Linked DNA regions of Oryctolagus cuniculus. The protein of the gene in region 1 purifies or fractionates together with the protein of each later gene. This does not show direct contact. Links are inferred from orthologs where the notes say so. Each region holds a gene or a part of one and is shown on either strand. Other genes may lie near its edges.

Region 1 (3,748 bases):
TATGCCACAACACTGGTCCCAATAAATACAATTTTAAAAAAAGATTAATTTTCTGAGTGGGAGGGCGGGTGTGGTAGGAAGAATAACTATATTCCTAAAGTTGTACTTATGAAATTTGTATTCCTTAAAAAATAAATTTAAAAAATATTCTTTAATTTTTTAAAACAAAATAAAAGTTTGTTAAACCTTAAAAAAGATTTATTTGCAAGCCTTTGGTTTATAATTCTGGATGGTGGGACAAGTTAAAATGCAAATTTCTGGACTCATTCAGCATAAGTCTTGATGTAGTTTATCTGGGGTTAATCAATTGCTGGAATGTACATTTTCAGAAGTACCACCCACTCCTAAATAATTAAAGCAGGAAATCTCTAAGACACTTAGAGCAACACAGATCATAGTATAAAAATTGGCCTTCACTGAGATTCTCCTTTTTTCCCACCTCATTTCTTACTTTTTTCCACTTCTGGGACTTTCTGCTTCCACAAAAGCAAAAATTTTGCATTTCCTTTATGTACCAAACCCCCTCACACCTCTCTGCCTTTGTCCGAAGGTCTACCACAAACTGCCTACCATCTCCTAATGTGACATGGGTGCTGAACAGCTGCCGTGGCCAATGTTCTCAGAGGACCCAGGAGCACCTTTCCCCTGTAGCACCACAGCACTTTGTTTCCGAGAGGATGCAGGTGTACACAAGTGTTTGCGTGTGCCTCTCTGCTCACCCACAACTTTCACAGTATTTTGCTTGCACGTCTAACTCTGCTATGTGTGTCTTCCCTACACCATATACAGTTCTTGAAGTCTTCGTCTCTCGGTAGGGACCACCTTGACTGGGTTCCAAATTCTGGTTACGTGACTTGCCCCACGTTGCAGAGCTGGAAAATCGTTTTGCATGGTCAAAATCTGGGCCAAGATATTCAAATTCCAGGTGCAAGGTCTTTCCGGAACACTGTGAGCGCGTTTCTGACGACACTGCTACAGGGTGAGCACCCTGCATATTTTACGCCTCACCGGCAGCGTTTGCCATGGTTTTATCACAGTGTTAAATGTCTTTGGAGACAGGTCTTACCTCCTCCAGAGCAGGAGCCTCCTCAGTGTGCTGACTCAAGCTGACTCAATCTTTGTATTCCGCGCAGGCCTAGCGCGTAGTAGGATTAAAAAAAAAAAAAAAAAATTGTTCAACCAATGACACTGTTTATACAACAGACAGAGCTAAGTAGGGATCATTTCAAACGGGCCAATTCTTGATCGTACTTTCCACGCTTGCCCCGTCCCCACCCCTCACCCCAACATTCAAGAAGTTAACTGCTAGAAAGGCTGCAGCCCGAGTCCCCGACCAACGTCACAATCCAGACCAAGAACTACCCGCCCCAGAATGCCGAGCGAAAGTGGGCGGGCTTTCCGTGAGCCGAGGTTGTGATTGGCGAGCGGAGGGGTTTCCTTCCGGTGGGAAGGGCCACGGAGGCGGGGACTTGAGGAGGTGTTGCGACGCGATTACCGGGTTGGGCGGGGCCCTTCTGGGAGGGGTGTGTGGGTGAGCCTGGGTCCTCCCGCCCGCCGAGGAGATGGATGAGGATGGGCTTCCACTCATGGGGTCGGGCATAGACCTGACCAAGGTTTGTAGAAGACCGAGATGAACTTCCGGTGACTGGGGAGGAGGGGGCTGGGGAAGGGACGTCCGGTTCCCCGGGAGACCCCACTTCTCCAGGCCCTATCTTGGCCCTGGGCCCCTGTTCGGCTGACTTAGGAGGCTGAGTGCCACAATCACTTTCCTTGAAGAGGGACCCTCTCGAGTTGACTTAGTTGATGAGGGTCCTCTGTGAGCTCTCACTTCCTGTGTCATTGCCCGCCGGAGACAGACTGGTTGCGACCTTTAACCTCTCTTTTATCTAATCCCAGGTTTTGTGTATTTATATATGTTGGTTTAACCTGCTAAAAATCCGTGCTCGTGAATCTAGGGCGCGTTGTAAAAATGTTTCTGCAGGTGACACCCCACCCACAGTTTGGGAAAACAAGCTAATGACTATTCGTAGTCCAAGAAATTCATATCACACGGCAAAATGTTCCGCTATGATGTCTGAAGGGATTGGGCGATCTACGTTCCTCCTGCCAAATCATGTTTGTTTTTACGTAACACAGGTGCCAGCTATTCAACAGAAAAGAACGGTGGCATTTCTTAACCAGTTTGTGGTGCACACTGTACAGTTCCTCAACCGCTTTTCGACAGTGTGTGAGGAGGTAGGTCTTGTGATACTGGGTTGTGGCATAGTGTAGCCGTCTCTTTGCCCTTCTGCGGTTGACAAATGGAGGAAAACACGAGCTACAGTCTCTGCATTCATCTACTGTGACCTCCCATCACACAGCAAATCCTCTTTGATTCTGTTAGGCTCAGTCCTGTACCTACCTCTGCTGAGCTTGGGATCCAGAGACCTCTGAGTGAGAGTTAAATCCAGCTTAGTGAAATTAAACAGAACAAAAGAGAATCCCCATCTTTTATTTGCAAAGCTATTTGTTCTCCTACCCAAAGATTTATATTTGAGAGTACACATTGTTTCTGTTTATAATAAAATTATTTTACATTCCTTCATCCAAAAGATGGCTAAGGGGTGGTAGCCCAGAAACATAACTTTGGTGTCAAATCTCATTTTAGGAGTAAAAACATTTTCTGCAAATGACTTGAGAAGTGAAGATTCAGTACCCAGTTACAGCTGTCTTTTAAAAAAACTAAAAAACATGGGGAGGAACACGTGAAACATGGTTTGAAATTGAGTTTAAGAAAAGAAAAAGAAAACTAAATCATAGTACTTAGATAATTCACAAGTGAGTCAGTTGAACATTCTGTCTTATAAAAAACGTAAAGGTTTACCAAAATAGAATTTGTGATAGCTGCATTTTTATTAATAAAAGCTGCATGGAGACAGGAAAACTGTTTTAAGATTATTTATTTATTTATTTATTTATTTGCAAGGCAGAGTGGCAAAGAGTGAAGGAGAGACAGAGGAGGAGAGAGGTCTTCCATCTGCTGGTTCACTCCCCAAATGGCCACAACAGTCAGGTCTGGGCCAGGCTGAAGCCAGGAGCTCCATCCGGGTCTCCCACATGGGTGCAGGGGCCCAAGTACTTGGGCCATCTTCTGCTGCCTTCCCAGGAGCATTACCAGGAAACTAGATGGGAAGTGCAGGGGTCAGGACTCAACCTGGCTTTCAATATAGGATGCCAGCATCCCAAGGAGAGGCTTAACCTGCTGTTTGACAATGCTAGCCACTAGTTATCAAAATGTTTTCTGCTTTCCCATTAAGACAAAAGAAAATGAAATAGATAATCGATAAAGAAAGGCATTCAATTCACTGCATTTTGTATTAATAGGCCCAGAAACCATCTCAGGACTGTTAGCAGAGAGGAACAAATGCTCCATCCCTGTAGTCCTGGTTAAAAAAGAAAAGCAAGGCAGGTGCCACGGCTCAATTGGCTAATCCTCTGCCTTGCAGCGCCAGCACACCGGGTTCTAGTCCCAGTCGGGGCACCATATTCTGTCCCGGTTGCCCCTCTTCCAGGCCAGCTCTCTATTGTGGCCAGGGAGTGCAGTGGAGGATGGCCCAAGTGCTTGGGCCCTGCACCCCATGGGAGACCAGGAGAAGTACCTGGCTCCTGCCATCAGATCAGCGCAGTGCGCCGGCCGCAGCAGCCATTGGAGGTTGAACCAACGGCAAAGGAAGACCTTTCTCTCTGTCTCTCTCTCTCTCACTGTCCA
Region 2 (3,648 bases), on another chromosome or scaffold:
AGTGGAGAACGAGACCAGGGGCACCTCCTTCCACGGAGACTGCCACGCTGGCCGTCCAGACCAAGCCACAGCAGAGTAGGACGTCGTCCTGGTCGCTGCAGACCGCTGGGCACGCTCGGTCGCGTGTGTGCTTGCAGGAGGCAGGTGCACTCGTGGGCCTTCATCCTCTCAGTTCTGCCAGGCAGCGCTGTTGAGAAGGCGAGCAAGACAGGAGCTGGCACAGCAGCCTTGCCCGGAGCAGAGAGGCCTCTCGGGAGAAGGAGGCACCCACGTGGGCGTCACCTTGTCTTCCAGGCCGTCTGGGCTCCCAGCTGGTTCCTGCGTGACCACTAGAGCTCACACTGGTGCGGGGCAGCACGGAGTGTTTCTCCCCATTCTCGCAAAGGCTCCACCAGCTGGGGGTGGCGAGTGGGGCAGGAAGGAGGGCTTGCAAAGGCTCCTTCTGCCTTGGGGTGATCAGGAGCAGCTGTGGCAGGGAGACCCCCTCCCCGCCTTGCCCTTGGTGACCCGGCCCCTGAGAAAGCAGGCACCTCTGTCCCGCGGCAGCTCGCAGGAGAGGCGGCCCAGCTCCCTCTGACCCCTAACTCAGCGTGGTTGCCTGGTGGGGTTGGCCCCAGGAAGGAAGCTGTCTGTGCACAGAATTCGTGAAAGCTGGCTTCAGGAGACGGCCCTTGTCAGCAGCCTCTTTGGCGTCCAGAGTGGCGTGAAGGGGCGTCGTCGGCAGGAGCAGCGGACAGTAGGCGCAGGATCCTGATGCTGCGGACACCGAGAGACTCCCCGCCCCAGGCTGTCTGCTTTTCATTCCTCTCGCCTTTTTAACCGGGTCCTTCCCTGAGCCCCTGCTGGAGTCACCAAGGGCGTCTTCTCCTCACCCCTTCCCACACGCTGTAAGGAGGTCTTCGCAGAGCCGGCGGCAGTCAGCGAGGGAAATACAAAGGAGTCGGAGAAGGCAGAGGGAGGAGCTGGCCTTGGCCGCCCAGTGCCTGCCCGCGGGCACGCCATCGGCCCTCCCCTTCACTCCCACAGCAGCCTCTGCTCACCGCGCGCTCGAGGCTCAGCCAGTGGAGACGCTGGCCGAGGGTGCACAGCTGCGGGGGCTGGGCTGCACACCCCTGCTCTGCCCCTGCTCGCAGGCCCTGCCTCCATGGAACCATTCCCATGACCTCCTCTTCCCCCCACCCCCAGGTCACCATGGAGCAACAAGTACGACCCTCCATTGGAAGATGGGGCCATGCCGTCCACACGGCTCAGGAAGCTGGAGGTGGAAGCCAACAATGCCTTTGACCAGTACCGAGACCTGTGAGTTTCGTGCCCCTCCCGAGTGGGCAGGGCGGGGCGCTCCTCAGATAAACAGATAATTGGGTCAGTGTGGAGGTGACGGGGGCGCACACCTCCCGGGGGGCTGCTCCTGCTGCTCCTGGTTCCCAGCGCCTGCTGTGTGAGACACAGGTGTCTCAGACCTGTCCTCTCCGGCAGGTGGAGCCCCCGCATTTCAGGGGTGAAGAAATAGACGTGCGTCCAAGGCAGGGCCAGGGCTGCAGCTCTGTTTTTACCGAACCTTGCGCCACGTTCTGCCCGGCAGCCCAGGGCCCTGCTCGCCCGCTAGTTGCCAGGGCAGCGTGAGTCACTGTCCCGAGCTGGCTGGACCCCGGCCGTCCCTCTAAACGGATGTGCTGGATCCCGAGCTGTGTGACCCCGGCCCATCACAGTGTCCCCTGCCCCCCAGCACCGCCCCACATGGGAGCAGCCTCTCACTCAGGCGCTCACCCTCTGGCAGGGTCTGTCCCGCGGGTCCCAGCACAGCCGTGACGTCCGTGACGCTGAGCAGAACTGCTCAGAACGGAGTCAGCGGCTCCGTGAGGGACCAGGCAGCAACATTTTAGGCTCTGCAGGTCTGTTAAGGTCTCTGTTGCTTATTCTTTGTTTCCTTTTTACCTGCAAACCCCTTTAAAAATGTAAAATCTGCTTCTCGAGCCTTGAGGCTGGTGGGATGTAGCCTCAGTCTGTAGCCTCCCCTGGTGCAGGAAATGGGCAGGAAAACGGAGACGAGAATGGAAGCGCCTGAGCAGGGGTCCGCGCTCTGCAGACGCCGCCATACCTTGAGTGTGGTGGTCCGCCCTCCCCCGATGCCGCCATACCTCGGGTACGGCGGTCTGCACTCCGCCGGGTGGGCAGCTGGCGTGGCTGACTCACTTGGGGCACTTCGCTCTAGCATTTTTTTTTTTTTAAGATTTGTTTATTTGAAAATCAGAGTTACAAAGAGGCAGAGGCAGAGAGAGAGAGAGAGAGGTCTTCCATCTGTTGGTTCACTCCCCAAATGGCCGCAACAGCCAGAGCCATGCCAATCCAAAGCCAGGAGCTTCTTCCAGGTCTCACATACGGGTACAGGGGCCCAAGGACTTGGACCATCTTCTGCTTTCCCAGGCCGTAGCAGAGAGCTGGATCGGAAGTGGAGCAGCTGGGTCTCAAACCGGCGCCCATATGGGATGCCAGCACTGCAGGCCAGGGCGTTAACCTGCTGCACCACAACACTAGCCCACCCTTTTTTTTTTTTTTTTAAGAGTTGTTTGTTTATTTGAAAGTGTTACACAGAGAGAAGGAGAGGCAGAGAGAGAGAGGTCTTCCATCCGCTGGTTCACTCCCCAAATGCCCACAAAAGCCAGGGCTGGGCCAGGTCAAAGATGAGAGTCAGGAACTCCATCTGGGCTCCCATGTGGGTGACAGGGACCCAAGGACTTGAGCTGTCACCTGCTGCCTCCCAGGCTGCACATTATCAGGGAGCTGCATCAAGCAGGGGAGCTGGGAGTCAAACCCGGCACTGCGGCGGTGCAGGTTGCAGGCGTCCCTGGGGTGGCCTAGCCAGCTGCACCACAGTGCCTGCCCTTGCACGTTCAGTAAAGCTTTTACTTTAGACAAGAGGAAACACGACACTTCTCTGACAAATTCCCTCACTACACTGACATGCCAGAGCTGTGTCCGTCACATGCTGCATTTTACATGGATCGTCTGCTTTGATAATTTTTTTCCATTGAGAGAGCAAGTATTCCCATCACTGGTTTATTCGGGGGCCTGCGATGGCAGGAGCCAGGAGCCAAGAACCCAGTCCAGGTCTCATCTGTGGTGGGGGAGCCCGGTCCAGGTCTCTTCTGTGGTGGGGGAGCCCGGTCCAGGTCTCTTTTGTGGTGGGGAACCCGGTCCGGGTCTCTTCTGTGGGGGCGGGAGCCCGGTCCGGGTCTCTTCTGTGGTGGGGGAGCCGGTCCAGGTCTCTTCTGTGGTGGGGGAGCCCGGTCCAGGTCTCTTCTGTGGTGGGGGAGCCGGTCCAGGTCTCGTCTGTGGTGGGGGAGCCCGGTTACTGGAGCCATTCATTGCCTGTCGCTTCCCAGGGTCTGCGTTAGTGGGAAGAGAGAATCGGGAGCAGAGCTGGGAGTCACACCCGGGCACCCGGGCACCCGAGGCGCTCAGATGTGGGTTGTGGGCTTTATTATTTTCCCCATTTTGTTTGGAAGGCAGATAGATCTTCCATCTCTGGGTTTGCTCCTCAAATGCCTGCAGCAGCCGGGGCTGCATCCGCTTGAAACCAGGAACCCAGAACTCCATCTGGGTCTCCCACGTGGGCAGCAGGTGCCCATCTGCTGCCTCCCATGATCC

The links. The genes of interacting proteins can lie anywhere in the genome.
Region 2: the proteins of WASHC3 (region 1) and CAPZB purify together in Homo sapiens (co-immunoprecipitation; 4 studies listed by BioGRID and IntAct, with this or other methods). This does not show direct contact. The link is inferred for Oryctolagus cuniculus from reciprocal best matches to the Homo sapiens genes WASHC3 and CAPZB.

What each region holds. Positions count from the first base shown.
Region 1 is NC_091442.1:105,008,668-105,012,415, reverse strand, and holds the start of WASHC3 (WASH complex subunit 3), read left to right. Parts: upstream 1-1,442; 5' UTR 1,443-1,562; coding exon 1,563-1,613; intron 1,614-2,136; coding exon 2,137-2,235; intron 2,236-3,748. UniProt on the Homo sapiens protein: Acts as a component of the WASH core complex that functions as a nucleation-promoting factor (NPF) at the surface of endosomes, where it recruits and activates the Arp2/3 complex to induce actin polymerization, playing a key role in the fission of tubules that serve as transport intermediates during endosome sorting.
Region 2 is NC_091438.1:151,225,507-151,229,154, forward strand, and holds part of CAPZB (F-actin-capping protein subunit beta), read left to right. Parts: intron 1-1,185; coding exon 1,186-1,299; intron 1,300-3,648. UniProt on the Homo sapiens protein: F-actin-capping proteins bind in a Ca(2+)-independent manner to the fast growing ends of actin filaments (barbed end) thereby blocking the exchange of subunits at these ends.